Rattus norvegicus: one gene and its partner. The main gene of each other region encodes a partner of the protein of the gene in region 2 in a complex. Links are inferred from orthologs where the notes say so. Each region holds a gene or a part of one and is shown on either strand. Other genes may lie near its edges.

The links. The genes of interacting proteins can lie anywhere in the genome.
Region 1: Eif3g (region 2) and Eif3k share a complex: the UniProt entries of both Homo sapiens proteins name them as parts of the eukaryotic translation initiation factor 3 (eIF-3) complex. The link is inferred for Rattus norvegicus from reciprocal best matches to the Homo sapiens genes EIF3G and EIF3K.

Annotation. Positions count from the first base shown.
Region 1 is NC_086019.1:93,391,624-93,401,902, reverse strand, and holds the start of Eif3k (eukaryotic translation initiation factor 3 subunit K), read left to right. Parts: upstream 1-4,415; 5' UTR 4,416-4,481; coding exon 4,482-4,540; intron 4,541-5,471; coding exon 5,472-5,570; intron 5,571-7,832; coding exon 7,833-7,953; intron 7,954-8,520; coding exon 8,521-8,595; intron 8,596-9,107; coding exon of another isoform or gene 9,108-9,113; exon of another isoform or gene 9,114-10,279. Other genes in the region: Map4k1 (mitogen-activated protein kinase kinase kinase kinase 1), read right to left, coding at 2,006-2,070, 2,704-2,794, 2,913-2,970, 3,131-3,229. UniProt on the Homo sapiens protein: Component of the eukaryotic translation initiation factor 3 (eIF-3) complex, which is required for several steps in the initiation of protein synthesis.
Region 2 is NC_086026.1:27,703,551-27,713,761, forward strand, and holds Eif3g (eukaryotic translation initiation factor 3 subunit G), read right to left. Parts: upstream 6,397-10,211; 5' UTR 6,387-6,396; coding exon 6,367-6,386; intron 6,248-6,366; coding exon 6,201-6,247; intron 6,008-6,200; coding exon 5,924-6,007; intron 5,815-5,923; coding exon 5,726-5,814; intron 5,585-5,725; coding exon 5,525-5,584; intron 4,112-5,524; coding exon 4,007-4,111; intron 3,915-4,006; coding exon 3,725-3,914; intron 3,219-3,724; coding exon 3,111-3,218; intron 2,983-3,110; coding exon 2,846-2,982; intron 2,756-2,845; coding exon 2,649-2,755; intron 2,454-2,648; coding exon 2,438-2,453; 3' UTR 2,364-2,437; downstream 1-2,363. Other genes in the region: Ppan (suppressor of SWI4 1 homolog), read left to right, coding at 1-147, 229-443. UniProt on the Homo sapiens protein: RNA-binding component of the eukaryotic translation initiation factor 3 (eIF-3) complex, which is required for several steps in the initiation of protein synthesis.

The DNA.
Region 1 (10,279 bases), on a different chromosome or scaffold from region 2:
ATGGAAAGGCTGGAGGAATTTTTCAATGCTGGACCTCTTGCCTGTTAGTTCAAAAACAAATAAGAAATAATAAATAAGGAAAAGGGCTGGAGAGATGGCTCAGCGGTTAAGAGCACTGACTGCTCTTCCAGAGGTCCCGAGTTCAATTCCCAGTAACCACATGGTGGCTCACAACCATCTGTAATGGGATCTGATGCCCTCTTCTGGTGTGTCTGAAAAGAGGGACAGTGTACTTAAATAATAATAAATAAATAAATCTTAAAAAAAAAGGAAGGAAAAAACATATAACGTAAGGTGTTAATACACTAGTAATTGTAAGAAAAAACAGAACCAGAAACAACAACAGGAAATATGTGTGGGAAGGGCATGACATTTTACACATGCTGGTCAGCAAGGCTACCATAAGAAGTGGAGGCGGGGGTGAGCTGGGTCCGACTATGCAGGAGAAAAGGAGGAAGACCAGAAGGCAGCAGGTAATGGTCGGTCAGTAGCTTCTCCCTAGAGGACTATGGGAGACGAGCCTCTGCAATGTGAGGGCAGAGAAGATGAGCAATGGTAGGGATACAGAGACAGACAGACAGACTGACAGACAGACTGACTGACTGACTGACCAAGCGTCAGAGCAGAGGAGGAGATAAGCAGAGAGCAAATGCAGGGAGATAGACATATTTTGGAAGACGAGCAGGGTTAGTGAAGAAGGAACAAGAGAAAGATGGGACAGAAGGTGTCAGGCAGACAACGGGGCTTACACGATAGTTGGGTGAGTCACTTCCTGCCTATTGGCCTCAGTTTCCCGTTCTGGGGGAGGTTTTGTGTTGCCCGGATGGAAGCTGGGACCTCGAGCCATCCTACCAGGCAAGCATTCTGCCACCGAGCTATAGCGAGACCTTTTCAGACATTTGAAATTTTGGGCTAGGGGGAGTTAGACAGAATAAGAGATGTGAGTACCAGAACTTCAGACAAGGCTGAGGTGTAGGGCCTGGTTGCAGTTGATTGGTCGTTCTAGCTACTGAAAGGCTAAGGCAGTGAGATCGTAAGTTCAAGGCCAGCCTGGGTAGCTTGTTGAGACTGTCACAAAATAATAAGTAAAAAGAGGGCTGGGGAGCGTCTAGAGAAATTGAAGGGATGTGTTAATAATACATTGTATACCTATAATGTTTTTAAAAATAGATAAATTAATTTAAGTTTAAATTAAACCCCCAAAGAATAAATTAATTAACTTAAAAATGGGGGTAGGTATCAGGGATATAGTTCAGAGTGCTTGACTAGCAAACATAAGACTCTAAGTTCAAAACACACTACTATAGCAAAAAAAAAAAAAAGCGTGTGTGTGTGTGTGTGTGTGTGTGTGTGTGTGTGTGTGTGAGAGAGAGAGAGAGAGAGAGACAGACAGACAGACAGACTCAGGAGGGATGAGAGACCTATGTAACTCATATTCCCCTGAAAGGTGGACCACAGGCTAACAGGCTAGACCCAGAAATTCATTGATTGCCTGCCCAAAAATCTGAGCGACTAATCTGAGTTAGAGAATGCAGACATAGGCCTGGTATGCTATCACATGCCTTGAATCTCAACACCAGGGGTGGCAGAAGTAGGCAGAACTCTGTAAGCTGGAGACAAGTCAGAACTATATAGTGAGAAGCCCTTCTCAAAAAAGAGGAAAGAAAGGAAGAAGGGAAGAAAGAAAGAAAGAAAGAAAGAAAGAAAGAAAGAAAGAAAGAAAACACAAAAATGCCACAACCCAGGAATAATTTTTGGCAAGAAAACCTAGACATCCAGGCAAAGACAGAGACATGGAAGTGGAAGGGATTATTGCCTGGGAAAAGACAGGCAAGACCCACAGGGGCTGGAGGGTAGGGTCATCACAGGGTCCCCAGCATCCTCCAAGTGGATGGGCCCAGGGTAAGATGTGGGCCAGGAAGGCAGCTCCCAGGATACAAGCACAGAGAGAGGGGAGAGGTAGACTGGTGGTAGAAAGGGGCCTATGTCCGTTTGTCTTTCTAACCTTGGTAGATGTCCTGGAGGGAACCGGCTCCACAAAATTCCATGCAGATCCATAGCTTCTGAAGCCTATAGGGAGTCAAGAAGGCAGGGATTACCATGGTATGAGACCTCCCAGGGCTATCTCACTCCCCCTGCCCACCAGAGAGTGTCCTGTTCCCATGGCAGAGGAGGTTGAGGATAGACCAGGAAGTGTGCGTTTCAGAGCAATTTGACTGAAACCTAGGTCTTTGGGTTCCAATCCAAGGGCACCCCACTGCCATACCAGAGTAATTTAGGGGACAGGGCAGAGGACTCATGGAGAAGCAGACAAGACAAAGAGTCCCGGGTTAAAGGGACGGATGTCATAATTGGGGCAGCCGAGATACTACCTTGGGAGCCAAAGAATTGGAGGGTGCATATTAAAGAAGCAGAGTAAAAATGGACGAGGCAGGGAGCAGGCCAATGGGAGATTTGATTACAACAACAACGAAGAAGGTTCTAGATTAGCCCTTAAATTGTTGGGTACTCAGTAAGAAAGGCAGAATTTCAGATTGGGAATCAGACTGGGATGCCCCAAATAAAAGTGAAAGTCCTCAGGTTGGAGGTCAAGTTAGGGTATCTGGGTCACAAATGGTAGTTTAGTACTGAGGACCCAGTTACCGGTGCCTGGTCAGAAATAAGGGGTTGGGGCTGGGGTTGGGGGATGGGTTAAGACATCACCAGAGGTAACTGCCATGGTAAGCCACGATGTTGGCGTGCCGGCAAGATTTCAGCATGAGAATCTCCTTCTGAAGGGTAGAGACGTCATCATCTGTGAGGAGGGGCCGGAGAGAAAAAGTGGCTCCAAGCAGGGGCTTACAGAAGTGTTCCCCATAGCCCAGGAAGTATAAGGGCAGGGATGGGGAAGAAGTTTCTGGGGCCGCTCTCACCAGGCTCCATCTTCACCATCTTCAAAGCCACTAGGTCCTTAGACACCTTGTCGCGAGCCTTGTAAAGGGGAAGTTGGCCATCAGGCAGGCACCATAGCTTGCCATCCCCAGCATCTCTGAACCAAGGCCAAAGCCTGGCATTCCTTTACAGTCCTGTTTGTCGGCCTCACCCAGCTCTCCCAGGTTTGATGGTGGAGGAGACAGAAGGGCTTTCTCACCTTGAACACTTCTCCATACGTTCCACCACCCAGTCGCTGCAGTAGATCATAGTGTTCTCGAGGGTCCTTATTAAAGATGTCAGGGTCCACAAGGGCCATCCCTGGAGGCCGGGGCTGGGCCAGTGCCCAGTGGGCCAACAGGGCCTCAGGGCTCAAGCTTTGGTATTACCCTCTGTCTCCACAAGTCCTGGGCCCGCCTTGACTCTGTGGGCTGTGGCCTTCCCCCTCCCCACTCTCGCTTCCTGCCCCAGCTGCAGGGCTGTGCAGAGGGCTCCGCAGAGGGCTCCACCCCCGTCCCCTGGGTTCTGAGAGTTTGATCGCCTTGGGACTGATGGGACTCCCCTTTACTCCCTGAAGGACACTATGTAAATAAGATGCAAAAGTTCTTAAATGCAACCTTGGGCTGACCTAGCTCCCTCTCCCCAACACTCTCCTATTTTGGGAGGAGTCACAGGTTACAGTTGAACCTCTGCTGAGTACTTGAAGATTTGGAGTCAAGCCAGAGGTCGCAGGTCTGCACAAAGCTGGATGAGTAGCAGAGGACTGTTTACTCGTGACACATGCGTGTGACCTAAGTGACAGCTGGGCTCAGGGCACCTGCCCACATGGCACATGTCTCTGCATCGCTTCAAAAGTGTACGGAATCTGTGGCAGACGTGGAACACTTGTTAGCAGTCCCTACGCGGAGCCTGATTGAGACTCCATTGTACCACGGTAGTCCCTCCGGGTGCTGGTATCATTTGCCTTCCCAGCTTCCTAGCAGAGAGCACTGTAGCATCACGGAATGCGAGTGGGGACAAGGGTTTGGAACTTAACGAGGAAGTGAGGATACGGGATGCTATCTTAGGCACCCAAGTCGGAGACAAGAAGGGCTTCAGAGAGCATCTCCCACCCGACTAAACGCAAAGAAAAGAATGGACGCCTTCAAGCGGCTATAGGGATTTATGGCTACGCATGCGTGCAGAGAACTATGTCTCCTTTTCCCGTACAACTCCAGCGCACGCGCATCGGAAGCTTAAGGTTCGTGCGGCCCGGGAAAAGCTTAGCCCGCCTCCTGGCGCCTGCGTAGTAAGGCAGACTATACCTTTCTCACGGTATTGGTCTCTTTTAGGTGTGACCAATGCGCATGCGCAAATTACAACTGCTAGCAGGAAATCATGTGGTAGCAAAAAAAAAAAAAAACCGGCGCGGCTGCCGGAAGCGCCTTTCCCTATGCCTTCCTTGTAGGAACTAGAGAGAGGGTGTGACGTAATTCCGCTTCCACCACGTTTCTTTTTCTTCCGGTCCTTGAGTACTTAGTACCGTAACTGGTGTTCGACTCCAGCTGGGGCTGCAGAAGGCGACAGTGGTCATGGCGATGTTTGAGCAGATGAGAGCAAACGTGGGCAAGTTGCTCAAGGGTATCGACAGGTCTGAGCTCGGCTGGAGGGCGCGCTCTGATCAAGCGGGGTGGAGAAGACGGGAAGCCAGCCCTGGGTGGCTAGGGCTTCACGCTCTTCCAGAGGCGGAGTTTTTCCAAGTTTAGCTTTGTCCCTCAACTTTACCTTTTCTGCTGCCACAGACTCTCGATGTTTCTTAGTTTCTTCCTCCTCTGTCCTTCTTGTGGGCCATCCTACATAATGTTCACTGATTTCTATTTGGCCAGTGGGAACCGGAGGTGATGGAAACAGCCACAGGTCCTGCGTTCCTGGACCTAGGTTCCCATTCCATCCCGGCGACAACCCCTTTTAACAGATAGTGACAGTAAGGAGAGATCAGGGCCTGGCCAGGGCAAGCCACGTATTGACCTAGGCAGGAGAGAGTGGAACTGGGTCAGAACGGAATCCAAGAGAAGGTATTCAGGAACACATAGGGGCTGCAGAGACTGGCTGCGGTTGGAGGCATCTTAGACACGACCCGGGGCTCAAGTAGGGCTAACCAGAGGTCCATGTTGTGAACAAGACTTACTGGAGGTAGTACAGTTGATCAGCTATCTAGGTAGTTTCAGTGGATGGGACTAAATTATTTAAGATCGAATGAATGTAGCTTTATTAAAAAGAATAATAAAGAAAGGAATACCACATGGCTAGAATCAAAGCTGCCGGAAGGAAGAGAGTGAGTTCAGGTTAACAAATTACAGTGGTCCCTAAGTCCTATAATGGGACTGGCCTCTGTTGTTCTCTTCTGTTTACCCATGTCTGTCTGTCTAGTTATCTTCCTTTTTTGAGACAGGTTTTCACTATAAATCCCAGACTAGCTTCAAACTTGCAATCCTCCTGTCCTACCTCAGCCTCCTAGGTACTGGGATGAATGGCATGTATCCACCATGCCAGGGTACTCACCCATCTTAACACCCTACCAGGTACAATCCCGAGAACTTGGCTACCTTGGAGCGGTATGTGGAGACACAGGCCAAGGAGAATGCCTATGATCTAGAAGCCAACCTGGCCGTCCTGAAACTGTGAGTGTCTGTCCCCACCCTCATGCCAGGAGCTAGCTAGCAGAAAGCCACTCTGGATAGGGAACCTGGTGCAGAGGTGCCTGGGGCAAGCTGCAGGGTGTGACTTCTCTTTGTGTGTAAACTAAGGGTCTGAGTGGGGTTGTTTTGTTTTGTTTTGTTTTTAATCCATTCCAAAAACATACAGGGTAATAAACGATTCTCTGTTTCTTGACAGATTATTGTAAATGAACATCCATTTTGTTAGTTCCGCTGGCCCTCAGCTCATGTGCTTTACCCCATCACATCCCTGGCTTAGGTAAACCACTGTTGAGCCCTTATGGCCCAGCCTTGGGTCCAGATCAGCTTAGGTCAGGTCTGTTTGCTTTGAGCTCTGCTGTAATCACATAGCTCAAGCTCTTCCGCACCATGCATCTTCCTCTGGGTTGGAGGCAGCCTTCTTCCATTTTTTTTCTTTACCCATATTCATGAGTGTGTGTGTGTGTGTGTGTGTGTGTGTGTGTGTGTGTGTGTGTGTGTGTAGGGGCTGTGTGTGCACACATGCATGTGGCTTGAGGTTGATATCAACCAGTCATCTTCAATCATTCTTCCACTTTATTCAGAGTCAGAGCCCAGAATTCACCAACACAGCTTGTCTGGCTAACCAGCTTGCTCTTGGCATCCCTGTGGTAACATCTTCAGAGACTGGAGTGCCAGGCAGGCTGCCGTGCCTACCTGGCATAAACATTTTATTATTTTTTAAAGATTTATTTATTATATACAAGTACACTGTCGCTGCCTTCAGACACACCAGAAGAGGGCATTCGATCCCATTACAGATGGTTGTGAGCCACCATGTTGTTGCTGGGATTTGAACTCAGGACCTCTGGAAGAACAGCCAGTGCTCCTAACCTCTGAGCCAACTCTCCAGCCCTATTTTATTCTTTTAAATTCATTTTGTTTTATGAGTGTGAGGGCAAGGGTGGCGGTCCAAGGACAACCTGAAGTGGTCAATCTTGCTTTCCACCGGTTTGTTTTGCTGAGTCCTGGCACTCCTGCTATAGACCAGGGTGGCCTTGGGACTAAGGACACCATGTCCGGCACTTTCCACCTTTCTGATTTCTGCTTCTGAATGCTGATTGGCCTGCACACTTCTAGAAGATTCTGTTTCTCGTCTCCCCATGGCAGCACTGGGGCAAACTCACTGAATCCTGTTTTATGAGTCCAGATTTAGCTTAGATCAGTGAGTTTACACCGTAAGTGTTTATACTGACTAAGCCATCTCTGGTCCTTTTTCTTGTTTTCTTAATTTATTTGCTTATTTTTAGCCAGGGTCCTGTAGCTGTCAGTGGCTTTGAACTTGCTATCAAGATGACATTGAACTCCTCCTCCCAAGTGCTGTCATGATGAACACGTGCCATCATCCGGCTTGCGTTCTCTGAGACCCACCCAGCACTTTACTGTAGAGCTCAGGCTGACCTCGAACTCCTGGGGCTCCTGTGCCTCAGACTTTCGAGTACACGCATCATGTGCTACCACACCCGGATGCCTCCCGTGCTTGCTTTTTTTTTTTTTTTTTTTCCTTTTTTTCGGAGCTGGGGACCGAACCCAGGGCCTTGCGCTTGCTAGGCAAGCGCTCTACCACTGAACTAAATTCCCAACCCCCCTCCGGTGCTTTCTTGACACACCACCTGCTGTATAGCTTGGTGTGTTTCGGTGTCTTGTTTTTGAATCAGGGTCTCTCGCTGTGTGGTTGTTGGCTGTGGAATTTGCTATGCAGACCAGTCTGGCCTTGAACTCACAGTGGTCCACCTGCCTCTGCTTCTGCCATTTGTAGGCACCAGTTTGTGTAGCCTTAGCTTTCACATCTGTAAAATGGGGTTAACATATTTGCTGGAGATGATGGCTGCACCTTGAGTGTTCATTGTGTGGTAGCCTCCCCTCTTACAGGATGGGGCGGGGGCTGCACAGAGGCAGCCTGGCTCAGAGTGGGAATGCCCACTCCAGAAGTCTGCTTCTCACTGTATCTGGTGTCTAGAGCAGGGAAGTGCACTGGAGAAATTAAGGTTGCATAGAAAAGACAGTGGGTGTTGGGGCTCACACATTCCTAGCAGGGTCTAGCGTGTAGCAAGGGGCATATACAGGCTATCATTTTACCCATTTGTATAAAAGCAGCCCAGATGACCCTCAAACTTGTAACCAGCCTGGGTCCTAAGGTTGCAGTCTCGTACCACTACAGCCAGCTTTGCAAGACACCACAGCTGCTATGTCTCTTACTGTCCTCAGGTACCAGTTCAACCCAGCCTTCTTCCAGACCACAGTCACTGCCCAGATTCTGCTGAAAGCCCTCACCAACCTGCCCCACACCGACTTCACTCTGTGTAAATGTATGATCGACCAGGCACATGTATCCTTGCAGCAGCATGCGAAGGCTGGGAAGCAGGGCGGGTAGAGGGCTCTGTGCATGCCCTGAGTGCTGGGCCAGTCCCTGGATGCTGCATGGTGCTCCCATGTCTGGGAGTACACGTGGAGGTCAAAGGACAACTTGGAGTAACAGTTCTCCCCTTCCTCCTGTGGGTACCAGGGATTCAGGTCCTTAGGCTTACGCTGCGGTTTTACCTGCTGGGCCATCTTGTTACCTCAGAGTTTTTCTTTCTTTTCATGTATTTTGAGAAAGGGTCTTGCTCTATCACCCTAGCTGGCCTGGAACTTGCTGTGTAGGCCGTGCTGTGCTTGAACTCACAGAGATCAGCTGCCTCTGTCTCCCAAGTGGTGGGTATTTTTTGTGGTGCTGAGGATGGAACCCAAGCCCTCACACGTAGGAGGCAAGTACTCAGGCACTGTGCTGCTGAACTGCACCCCCAGTCGTAGTTCCCAGTTCTTTTGGGGGGCTGGGGAGCTAGGAGATAGGAAGAGAGGGTTGAGCTAAACCTATGGCTTCCCGCACTGTTTCCTTAATGCTTCCTGATTCCAGCAAGAAGAGCGGCCCATCCGACAGATCTTGTACCTCGGGGACCTGCTGGAGACCTGCCACTTTCAAGCCTTCTGGGTAATGTCTTTAGGGTGCAGGCTGGGATGCTAGAGTACATGTCTAGCATGTGGGGAGCCCTGGGGGCCATCCCCACCCAGCACTTCCTAAGACCAGGCACACTAGTGTACACTGTAAGTCTAGAAGGTGGGGGTGGGAGAATCAGAAGCTCGGTGCCACCTCAGCTGTACAGAGTTGGGGTCAGCCTGAGCTGCATGAGAGCTGTCTCAGACAAGCAAAGGCAGTGTCAGCCAAGGTCCCAGGCTCTGTGCTCAGGGCTTCACATAGAGCCATGACTGACCCACGTGGCTGAGGCTCACCCTGTCCCCTTGTGTTGAGTCCCTAGTTAGAAGCAAACCCTCTCTTATCCATCCGAGCTCTCTGCCTTTCCAGCCTTCACATGGACAGATGCCCAGGGGAAAGCTAAGCTGGGTTGGTGGCCCTTGCCTGAGTTCCAGAGCTTAGGAGGCTGAGGATAGAGCTCCAGACCAGGGCAGTTAAGAGCAGTGGCTCAGAACCATCTGTAACTCCAGTTCTAGGGGACCCATCGTGTTCTTCTGGCCTCCATGGACATTGCCTGTCTTAGTCGGGTTTCTCTTCCTGCACAAAAAGTACATCATGACCAAGAAGCAAGTCAGCACTGGAACTCAAACAAGCCAGGAAGCAGGAGCTGATGCAGAGGCCATGGAGGGATGTTACTTACTGGCTTGCTCTCTTATAGAACCCAAGACCACCAGCCCAGGGATGGCACCACCCACAATGGGCTGGGTCCTCCCCCCTTGATCACTAATTGAGAAAATGCCTTACAGCTGGGTCTCATGGAGGCATTTCCTCAAGGGAGGCTCCTCTCTCTGTGATAACTCCAGTTTGTGTCAAGTTGACACACAAAACCAGCCAGTACACTGGCCATGCACTTGGTACACATGCAGGCAAAACACCCTGCCTTTTGTTTTGTTGTATAACAAGAACCAGAGTTTGGCTCCAGCACAGTTGCTGGGCAGCCTTTTCTGGCCACCATGGTCACCCACTCACATCTGTTCATGCTCACATGGATACGTTCACACACACATAAATATAAAATTTTTCCTTTTTAAAGGAGATTTATTATTTTATGCATGGGAGTGCTCTAGCTGCACGCACACCTATTTGCCAGAAGAGGGCATAAAATAACATAGATAGTTGAGAGCCACCTGTGGTTACTGGGAATTGAACTCAGGACCTCCTCCAAGTTAACCACTGGACCATCTTTTCAGCCCCAAATCTTGCCTTCTAAAATAAATGTTTAGAAGACAAAACACAATAGCAAAAAAAAAAAAAAAAAAAAACCTGGAGCCTGGGGAGGATGGAAGCCTGTAGGTCCCAAGCCCCATCATGCCAGGTCTGCAGTGAGCCTTTGCCTTCCTACAGAGCTTGCCAGAACCTCTGAGGCATGGTTTGAGCCCCACCCCTTCTTCATCCAAGGCAAGGCTATAGAAAAGTCAGACCATTATCTACTGAAAACATACAAAACAGAAGGTCTGACATCCCAAAAATTCATGTTCAGTGGTCAGGTCAAAGACTGTGGGTTGCCTTCCTCAGTGTCCCCTCCCCCCTGCTGACTTAGAAGCCACTCTGCTGTGTTCACTGAGGGCTCCGTGGTGCCCTCTGCCCAGCTTTCAGCATACACCATGCCATCTCCTGATATATCCCCAGTGAACTTGGCCTT
Region 2 (10,211 bases):
TAAAGCGAGCACGTGCAAAGGCCGATGGCGACAGTGACGCTGAGGACCCAGGGGCACCTCCAGAAGCAGTGGGGATGAGCCAGCTGGAGGAGGAAGAGGATGATGCAGAGTATTTCCGCCAGGCCGTGGGCGAGGAGCCTGATGAAGGTGGGCAGGGTCTGTACTGGCCACACCTGAGGTCCTACCTTTTACTTCTGAGGAACTTAACAACCATTTCTCTCCCTACAGACTTGTTCCCCACAGTGGCCAAGCGGAGACGGCAGGGGGGCCCTGTGGGCAAGAAGCGGCCTGGGAAGGAGCAGAGGCCTGGTAATAAAGGCCGTGGTCAGAGTGGCAACTGGCAGGCTCTGAAGCCACATGGCAGATCCCAGAGAGTCAAGACCAAGCTGGGACCCAGAGCCAGGTCCCGTGACTTGGGTCCACCATCAAGGAAAGGACCCTGAACCTGCCTGTCAGTGGGTGGACCATGTGTGGATGCCCCAGATTGGGGCCCGGAAGCTGCCCTGGGCCCCAGTGCACTCCGGTTTCCTTTCATAAAGGAACTGCCCAGTTACCTCCAATAAACCTGAACATGACACATTGAGCTTTCTCTCTGGCTGGGGTGGGGACAGCTACTAAACTGAGACAGGCCCAGCCTGGATAGTACGAGGAGGAAGCAGGCTGGGTGGGAGGGTTACTCTGGCTGTGCAGGTAGAGACTGGCTCATTACCGGCCTGCTGGGAACCCAGATGGGACCTTGGATAGCCAGAAGCTGCTGGGAAGATTAGCCAGCACTCAGCTCATTGAAGTGGGACGTGTGTTCTATGGGGCTAATTATATCCCACTCAGGACATTAAGGGAGTGGTGGGAGGGTGCTACCAGAGTTTGTAAGTTGGGGGTGGGGTTGTTTGGAGTGGTAAGGCTACAAAGTGGATACCTCCTCACTGGTACTAGGTACCCTCCAGTGGTTTGGGGGGAACCTAGCAACTTCAGAAGGGGAGTGCTCTGAAGTTCACAACTGCAAGCTTCTGTAGTCTCAGTACAGAGTCCTATGCCTACCCAGCCTTGTTTCCAAATCAGTGTGGCCCTGGTCCATCCCACCTAAAGGTAGGTTGGTCTGGTCAGTAAGGGGTCTACCAGGCTGTGTGTCACTTGTAGGAACTGGTGTATGGAAAAGGAGGAGTAGGCCTGAGGCGGGTGGCTCAGTCAGGTACTCTGCTCACAGGGAGCTTGTCCAGCCCACAGAAGTACTTGGGAGCTACTGGCAAGTACATCCGTCTTCAGGACTTCCTCTGGCTCATCCTGATTGCAGAGCTCCTCTTGGCCACAGTGGGCAAGTTTATCACCCAAGTACAGAGGCCTTCTCTGTGCAGCCAGCAGTCAGCAACATGTTCTATGCACGAACACTGCCTCTCTGGCTGCCTACTGCCACCCGCCTGAAAACTGGAGCTTGGGGATGGCTATGGGCCTGCAACCTGCTCAGCAGCAGCATCCTCTGCTTGCCTCGGTTTCAGCCAATACAAGGTGGTTGTGCACCCCTTCTTTACACAGACACCTGTCACCTGCAACCCAAGCACCTGGGCTATCGGTGCTGTCAGCTGGGTCATGGCCATCCTGAGTGCTGCCCCCCACGCTTTCTCCTACCAGAGACAGCCCAACAGACGTGGGGCAGCAGCAACAACAATCTCAATGCCTCTGTCAAGTACCTAGAAATGGGGGACGGACAGCCAGAGGCCTTCAGAGCCTACAGTGTGATCCTGGCAGGCCTGGGTGGCTTCCTGCCTCTGCTGTTCACACCAATGACCGACAGTGTCCTGGGGCTGGTGGTGCCAGGGCTCAACCACAGCCCAGAAGCTGCGTGTGGTAGTGCTGGTGGCCAATGGTGTGGCTCTCCATGCCTGCTCCTATGCGCCCTACCACATCACACAAGTGCTCCATGTGGATGCCAAGATGTGCTGGTTGGCTCACTGCCCCAATTTCTCCAATAAGGCGCAGGCTGAGCAGGAGCTGGGGCCCTTCTTTGGCTGACAATACACATCCTTGTGCCCCTGGCCGCATGCATGTACCCCTTGCTCTACATGGCTGTGGTACCCAGCATGTGCTGCCACCCATGTCATGTTGTGACAACAGATCCTAAGCAAGGGTCCTCCAGTTACCCTCAAGGCTGGTGCCTCACCAGTGCCAGCTGCCTCCCACCTGGGCAGGTCCTTTAATAAAACCATAGGCTGGGGTTGGGGATTTAGCTCAGTGGTAGAGCGCTTGCCTAGCAAGCGCAAGGCCCTGGGTTCGGTCCCCAGCTCCGAAAAAAAAAAAAACCCATAGGCTGAGGGAGGGGCCAGCTTCGCCCCCACAGGGAGACCCATGAAAACGAGCAGGACACAGTGTATTTGGAGTCTGTTTACTGGAAGCTTTCTGTCCCTGAGGATCTGGACAACAGCAGCAGGCAGCAGATGTCTTATTAATTCGTTGAAGGCCTGGGAAGAGGAAGAGAGGTGGTCAGGATGCAGGTGGGGACCTGTGATGCTGAAGGTTACCTCATACCAGGGAAGCCCAGGCCTTGCCTGCTTGGGACCAGTAGCTTCATGCCTGGCAAGGACCTTCCTTCAGACAGACCTGGCAACCACATAACAGGGCCAGGGAGAATGTGGGAAAGGTAGAAGGGTTCTTACTTGGCCCACTCGACATTGAGGATAAGATGGTCGTAGCCAAAGCCAGACACCCCTGCAATGGCACGCGCAGCATCCTCCCGGCGGTGAAAGCTGATAAAGGCAAAACCCTGTGGGCCGAGGCAGACATGGAGGTGGTGAGAAGTGGGTCAGGGGATGCCTACTCTCCAGTTACCCATCCCTCAGCCCCGTTCACCCACCTTGGACTGCCCAGTGGTCTTGTCCTTGGCCAAGTAGATTCGGGAGATGGAGCCAAAAGGCCGGAAGAGTTCCTGTAAGTCAGTCTCACGAGTGTCCTCAGACAGATTAGTGACACGGATGGTGGCATTGTCATCAGCTTTGTGGGCAGGGCAGGGAGAGGTAGCCGTGAGGAGGATGCCGTAGTCAGACCCACGCCCACAACGCAGGACTAATTACAGGGTGTCTAGGTACCACCTGCTCCCTGGGTTTTCCTACCCTCCTCACCTCTGCGGTTTGGCTGCATAGACTCCCCACGGCGGCTTGCCCCGTCCCGGAGACTAGGAGGCACATACTTCCCTGTCTTGTTCTGGGCGGCCTGCACAGGCTCCAGTTCTGGAAAGCAGCAGACAAAAGTGATATTCAGCCCACCCCTGGGGACAGGCGTCCAGCCACCCTTTGGTGACCCACATCATATCCAGGAAGCTACAACCCTTCAGAGTCTCTACTCACGACATGGACAAGGTGAGCAGGGCAGACGTGATCCGGGCTTGCAGAGCCCTCCCTACAAGCTAGAGAATACCAGCTGGCAGCAGCCTGACTATAGGATGTCCCTCAGCAACACATCCATGATAGCAAGAATCAAGTCACAGAAGGCAGTTACCCCCACAGGACATGTTAGATTTCGGTCTACTGAGCCCAGCACATATGTGGGTGTCACCTGAATGTATGTGTGCATACATACATATACACACGCACACCCAAGTTAGAGTAAGTCATCAGTCACACTTGCATCAGAATGACCACCATGCCCAAAGTTGTCCCTAGGTGATATAGGGAAAGAAAACAGTACACTACAAAAGGAACAGCTGAGGCCCCTCCCAGGCGCCCCATGCCCACACCTCCTGGCAATTTCTCCTTCTCCCCGGTAGACAGGCCCAGCTGCTCAGCCAGCTCCTTCTGCATGGGTCCTAGTGTGTCCTTGTAGGGGCAGCGGGTGGTCCAATGGTCGCCCTTGCAAATGCGGCAGGACACGATCTTCTGGCCCTTGAGCTTGTTCATTGGGTCCTCCTCCTCCTGGCAGTTCAGGTCCTGGTGGGGAAGGGATGGCTCAGAAGGGGCTGCTATGTCCTACCCACCCCACTCCCTCTGCGTTTCTCAGGTTCCAGTTTCACCCTGCTCACCTCTTTGCTAGTGATGAATGTCATGGAGACGTCATCACTGACTGTGGTAGTGGCTACATTGGGCCCTGGCGGGTCAAACTCTGAGTTGCCAAACTTCTTCCAATTCTGGGCTCCCAGGAAAAGATGGGGAGGTGAGGATGAAGGCAGGAAGGATCCCACAGTGCAGCACCCCAGACAGACAACCATTCCGGGGCTTTGACTCCTATGTTCTAGTTTCCCTAGAGGCCTTCCGTGTGGTAACAGTGACAATACCCACTTCCTAAGATAGACATGGCGGCACATGACATCACTCCAACATCTGCCAGGTGCAAACAGGAGGATCCTGAGCTGCAGGCCATCCTGAGACACAAGCTCTAAACCAGCTTGAGCTGTATGAGGCCCCATCTAAATGAATGAATAAATACATAAGAAAAGGAAAAGGGGGCTGGGGACTTAGCTCAGTGGTAGAGCGCTTACCTAGGAAGCGCAAGGCCCTGGGTTCGGTCCCCAGCTCCGAAAAAAAGAACCAAAAAAAAAAAAAAAAAAAAAAAAAAAAAAGAAAAGGAAAAGGTGCTGGTGCCGTAGCTCAGTGTGAAAAGGTGCAGTTTACTTGTTGTACTTGTAACAACCTGAGCTTGATCCCAAAGTCACACAAAAAGTTGAGCATGGGGCTCAACTGTGCCACTGCAGTTTCTGGGCAGGTCAGTAGCCCAGCTCCCATCAGGAATGAAGGAGGAATCCCCAGATCTTAGGAACCTTGAGCTAGTTAGACCTGAGGTTCATTTCCTTCCTGTAACATGGGGGCCACAAAGCCCCCTGCCTCCCTAAACTGGCGTGGGGATTGAGAAGCCATGTCGAGCTAGATGACTTGGGGGGGAGGGGTGCTTGCTCTCAGGCAGTGCTGCCCCGGCTAGACGCCCTTGCCCCCTTGGTAAGTAGAGGCTGCTCGCTTCTTCATGTAGACAAAGGAGGAAGAATCTAAGTGGGGACTCGGGAGGCAGAAGCATTCTGAATGAAGACTGTAGAGCTAAAGTCTCTCAAAAATAACAAGCCAGGAAGTGGTGGCAGTGCCTTAAATCCTAAGTCTGGGGTAAAGGCAGGTGGACCTCTGAGTTCATGGTCAGCCTGGTCTACAGAGAGTTCAGAACAGCTAGAGCTACAGAGAAACCCTGTCTGGAAAAAACAGACAAACTACAAACAGAAAAACCAAGAGGGCTGGATATGTCTCAGTACAGTATTTGTCACAGAAGTGCCCATCAGAGTTGATCCCAATGAAGATCTGAGATCAGAGGCATGTACTTATGTGGGAACAGCAAGCCCAGTCTAGTTTCTAATATAAAGAGACCATCTCAAACCAAAAGTGCGCACACCTGCGCACAAAAGGAGAAGAAAAAAAAATCTTAACTTCATCTACTCCTGGGTCCTAAACTTTCAAGGCCTAACACTAAACTTTTATTCTACATCAACAAAAAGGGGCTTCCTAAGTCCTCTGGTCAGTCCTGGGGAACACCCCCATCCCCCAAATAAGTACACTCTCACCTTCCTCCTGGCCACAGCCTTTGATGCCTTCCGGGTCTCAATTCTGAAGGTTCTGACAATCTGAAGGTGGGAAAGAGTTAGGAGTGCTTCCCGAGTCTCAGGCCTGCCTCAGCCATCCAAAGCAACACTGACACTCTTCACCACCGATCTAAGAGCCCCTGAACAAGTCACGCTGACCACATATGCCCACCTCACCCTTACCTTGAACTTCTTCCCATCTTCCTCTACCTTGTACTCAGTCACCGTCTTTATGTTCCCATTGATGACTTCCTTGGGAGGTGGCAGTGGGTCTGGAGGAAGATCACAGAAACTAACTCCTGGGTAATGGGACTGGCTGGAAAGTAGGCTTGAGAATCGGAAGGGAGAAGGGAGAAGAAGGCAGGGATGGACGGTGCTCACCTCCAGGAAGTAACTCCGGCTCTGGACTGGTGTCACCGGTGGGCAGAGGGATTCCTTTCAGGAGCTCGCTGGTGACACACTTGTCTGCCGGAGGGAATTCGGGGAGGAAGGTAAGTGAGCCACAGCGCTGGAACTTTCAAGCCAATGGCGGGGGTTGGGGTGGGGGACCGCTCCAGGGGCAGAGCGCAAAGCGAGGGTGGGACTGGCCACAAGCGGCCCTAGCCTGTGCGTGGGCATCCGGGTCTCGCAGCGGGCGGGGCCGCGCACAAGCACTCACCGTCCTCTCCCTCCTCTTCCACCTGGTCGGCCCAGCTGGGCTTCGAGCTGCGGGGACAGGAGATCGGTGAGCGGGTCCCGGGCCCCGCGCTACCTGGACCACCATACACCCCAGAGCTGCCCCCACTCGGCCTCTCTGGCGACCCCCACCGCCACCGAACACTTACTCAAAGTCGCCAGTCGGCATCTCGAAGTCCTACTCCACGCAGCTCTCAGCCCGGGTAAAGACCGGAAGCCCGTGTAGAAGAGGCTTCCGGTGCTGTGGCCGCTGCCTAGAGCGGCCAGACCGCGGTGACCACAGCGCCTCCCTGTGGACAAATGTGGACATGCATGTTTTGCGTGCCGCAAAGCGCTGGCATCCAACCTGGAAAGGGGGTCTAGAAAAGAGCTTCTAAGAGCGTTTTAAACTTTTTACTCCCTCTTTAGGCTGATGGAACTAGATGTCAGTGTCTCACTCTATAGCTAGGATAATCAGTAACTCCCCACAATCCTTCTGTCTCAACTCCAAAACGCTCATGAACATCATTCCCAGGGTGGCCTTGAATACGAGGCTGTCCTGAACCTTGTGGTGTATGTACCCCAGCTAGCCTTGAATCTTTCCACCTCATTCTAGCAAGTGCCGGGAATACGAACATGAAACCACCACACTGGAAACTGATTCGTTCTCTCCCTCCTCTTGGAGAATTAGTTTTAATTATCACCCAGTGTTAGAGGTGGAAGCTGGAAAATCATGAGTTGAAGGCCATTTCAGCTACTTTTTGGATTCCAGGCTAGCCTGTGCTACATGAGACTCTGTATCCAAAACTAAAACCCTTACTTTGTTCCCCAGGCTTGCCCCTGAACTCCCGAATGCAAGCAATTGACAAATAACTGGCATTATACCAACAAGCCTGGGGGAAAAGCACATGTATCAAGAATGCCCTTAAAAAAAAAAAAAAAGAACCAAAAAAAAAAAAAAAAAAAAGAATGCCCTTGATTTGTGTTGTTTGGATGATACCAGGACTCTGGTTTGTTGAAGAAGATATAGACTCAGACCACCTGGTCTCCTGTGCTTCCTTTTCTGTGACGCATGCTAGGTTTTATCATGCAAACTTGCGTGTGTGTTTGTACTGTGTTTGAAGACACCGTGCTTGTGCACTCACAAACCCTTATGCACAGTACACGTGTGGAGGTCAGGGGACACTTTGCAGGAGGCCTCTCCTTCCACTATGTGGGTCCTGCAGCTCAGGCCCGCAGTCTTGGCCTCCTGTTGGGGTCAATGAATCGCTTCACAAACCACATGAACACCAATCTCTGACAGACACGGACAGTTTATTTAGCGTACATCCCAGGACTGGTTGACCAAGGTCACACTCCAGATTCAGGGACTGAACCCCAAGCTAAGATCCTGCAGGGTTGTTAAGCCCCAAATCCACAAACATCTGTGCCAAGTTATTTCACCAATCAGGATTTAGGGATAGGCAGATTTCCTTGGGATCATGTCTTTGTTGTACACTTACCCTGCTCCCAATGGTTGGGGTATTCAACTGTGGCAGGGGACTTGCCTTGTCTAACATTCAAGTCTTAACTTGCCAGCCAGGGGGCTGGAGAGATGGCTCAGTGGTTAAGAGCGCTGACTGCTCTTCCTGAGGTCCTGAGTTCAAATCCCAGCAACCACATGGTGGCTCACAACCATCTGTAATGATATCAGATGCCCTCTTCTGGTGTGTCTGAAGACAGCTGCAGTGTACTTATATATAATAAATAAATAAATCTTTTAATTAAAAAAAAAACTTGCCAACCAGGATGTCAGTTATCCATGCTCATGTCTCTTTTTGCTCTCTGAGGTTGTCAGTTCCCAGGAAGGTCTTGGGAATGTAATCTTTACTCAACTCCTACTCAAAATGGAAGTCTTGTTCCAAATAGTTTCTTACACTGGTGCAGGTGTCTCTCTTATGTTGGGGTCCATCCCAGGGGCAGCTTACAAAGGCAAGTGCCATAGAAACTTATGTATGGTTCAGGAAGTGCTGCTGGGTGGCCGATTCGGGTCCAGGCTTATTGTGGGTCATGATACAAAACCGTTCTACTGACTTCTATCATGATTGATTTCCAAGGGCACAGAGCATAACAGAATACGTAATCAATCTCGGCATTAGAAAGTTTCTTAGTAACAGCAGAGACATGGGAAAGTTTCCTTATAATGGTAGGCTACCCAGGTAACAGTCACCTAGGCCCTAACATTTTATCTAGGCCTTAAAATATTTTACCTAGGTCCCAATACCTCCTTAGCTGCAAAAGCATGTCGTAAGTTCTATTCCTGCCACCTTAAACTATCTCCCATGTGAAGCTCTTATCAAGTAAATGAAGACTATAACAGATTCTCTGCCTCCAGGGACACCCATTCCAAGCTCCGTGTGTAATGGCCAATACTCCCGGCACTTAGAACTTGTATCTTGGGCTGGCCAATGACTCAGTGGGTGAAGGTGCTTTCCATGAGCCTGTTGCCGTGAGTTCAACCCCAGGACCCATCTGGGAGAAGGAGAGAACTGACTCTAGCAAGTTGTTCTCTGAGCCCACACGTATGCCGTGGTGTGTTCTCACACACTGAATTGGAGTGAAGTTCTTGTAGAATCATGGCGTCTAGGGTAAACACCAGCGTGAATAGCTGTTTTCTAGAAGCACTAAGACCTTGAAGAAATCTTGTGAGGATGTTCAAGATTCAGTCCATAGAGACTGGATTTCCCTGCGCCCAGAAAGGCCTTAATTCATCCTCAAGTGGTTCTCTTTCTTCAGTGGACCCTCAGGACCAAGAACGCCAACACGAAAGTGTAATGGAATCAGAAGAGGTCAGGCACCATCTAAGGATGGGTGGTATGGCTGTAAAAGCAGGTTGGATAATCAACTTACATTTGGCATTTACTGTCATTCTCTCTAAGGATGCAATAAACAAAATGGTCAATTCCAATGCTAGGGAGGTAGAGGCAGAAAATCTAAGAGTTTGAACTCAGCTGGGCATGATGAAACAGAGTGGAGTCGTGACTCAAGTGACAAACAGACAAACAGACTAAAGAGTTAGTTTGAGGGGTTGGGGATTTAGCTCAGTGGTAGAGCGCTTGCCTAGCAAACGCAAGGCCCTGGGTTCGGTCCCCAGCTCCGAAAAAAAGAAAAAGAAAAAAAAAAAGAGTTAGTTTGAGGTCTCTGTCCTCCACGCTGGAGAACAAAGTCACTTTAAGATTTTCTGAGGTACCTTACTGTGTTTTCTTGTGAGAAAGCTTCTCTCAGTAGCCACTAGAGGGCAGAGTAGAACAGTCAGTCAGAGAAGGAAGGAGGTTGGGGAACCAAGGAAAGAATGCCAGCTGCAAAGCGGGTTTTTAGGAAAGTGACCCACGGGGCCACACACCCGGCTGAGACAGGAGTGTTCTCTCAAGACTGAGGCCAGCCTGGGTTACAGAGCAATCCCCTGTTTGTAACAAAATAAAAAGAAAACTGGCCAGGCAGTTTTTAAAGGTTACAAAAATAAAGCACTAATAGGATTTTTTTCCTTGGAACCTAGTAGTACAACTTATGACAAATTGTATGCAAAGGTGTGACTGTTAGAAGGCTGTGTAGTGGAGGGGGGGGGCTGCATATGCCCGTCATCAGTTGAGGTAGCAGCAGTGAGCCTCCAAAGGCTGCTTGCACTACACAGTAAAAACCCACTAAATAAATGGTGTCGCTCTTTTTCTGGGGAGCAGAGTCTTGTGTAGCTTTGGCTGGCCCCAAACTCGCTAGGTAGCTGAGGATGACTTCAAGCTACCAATCCTCCTGCCTCTACCTCCCCAGTGTTTGAATGACGGCAAACACTGGAGCCCCAGTGCATACTGGGCGTGCTGTCTTAGGTTTCTATCGCTGTGATAAATACCATGACCGAAAGCCACGTAGGGAGAAAGGGGCTCGCTTTATCTTACAGTTTATAGTCCTGTACTGAAGTCAGGGCAGGAACTTAGCGCGTGAAGCAGAGGCCATGGAGGAGTGCTGCCTACTGACTACAACC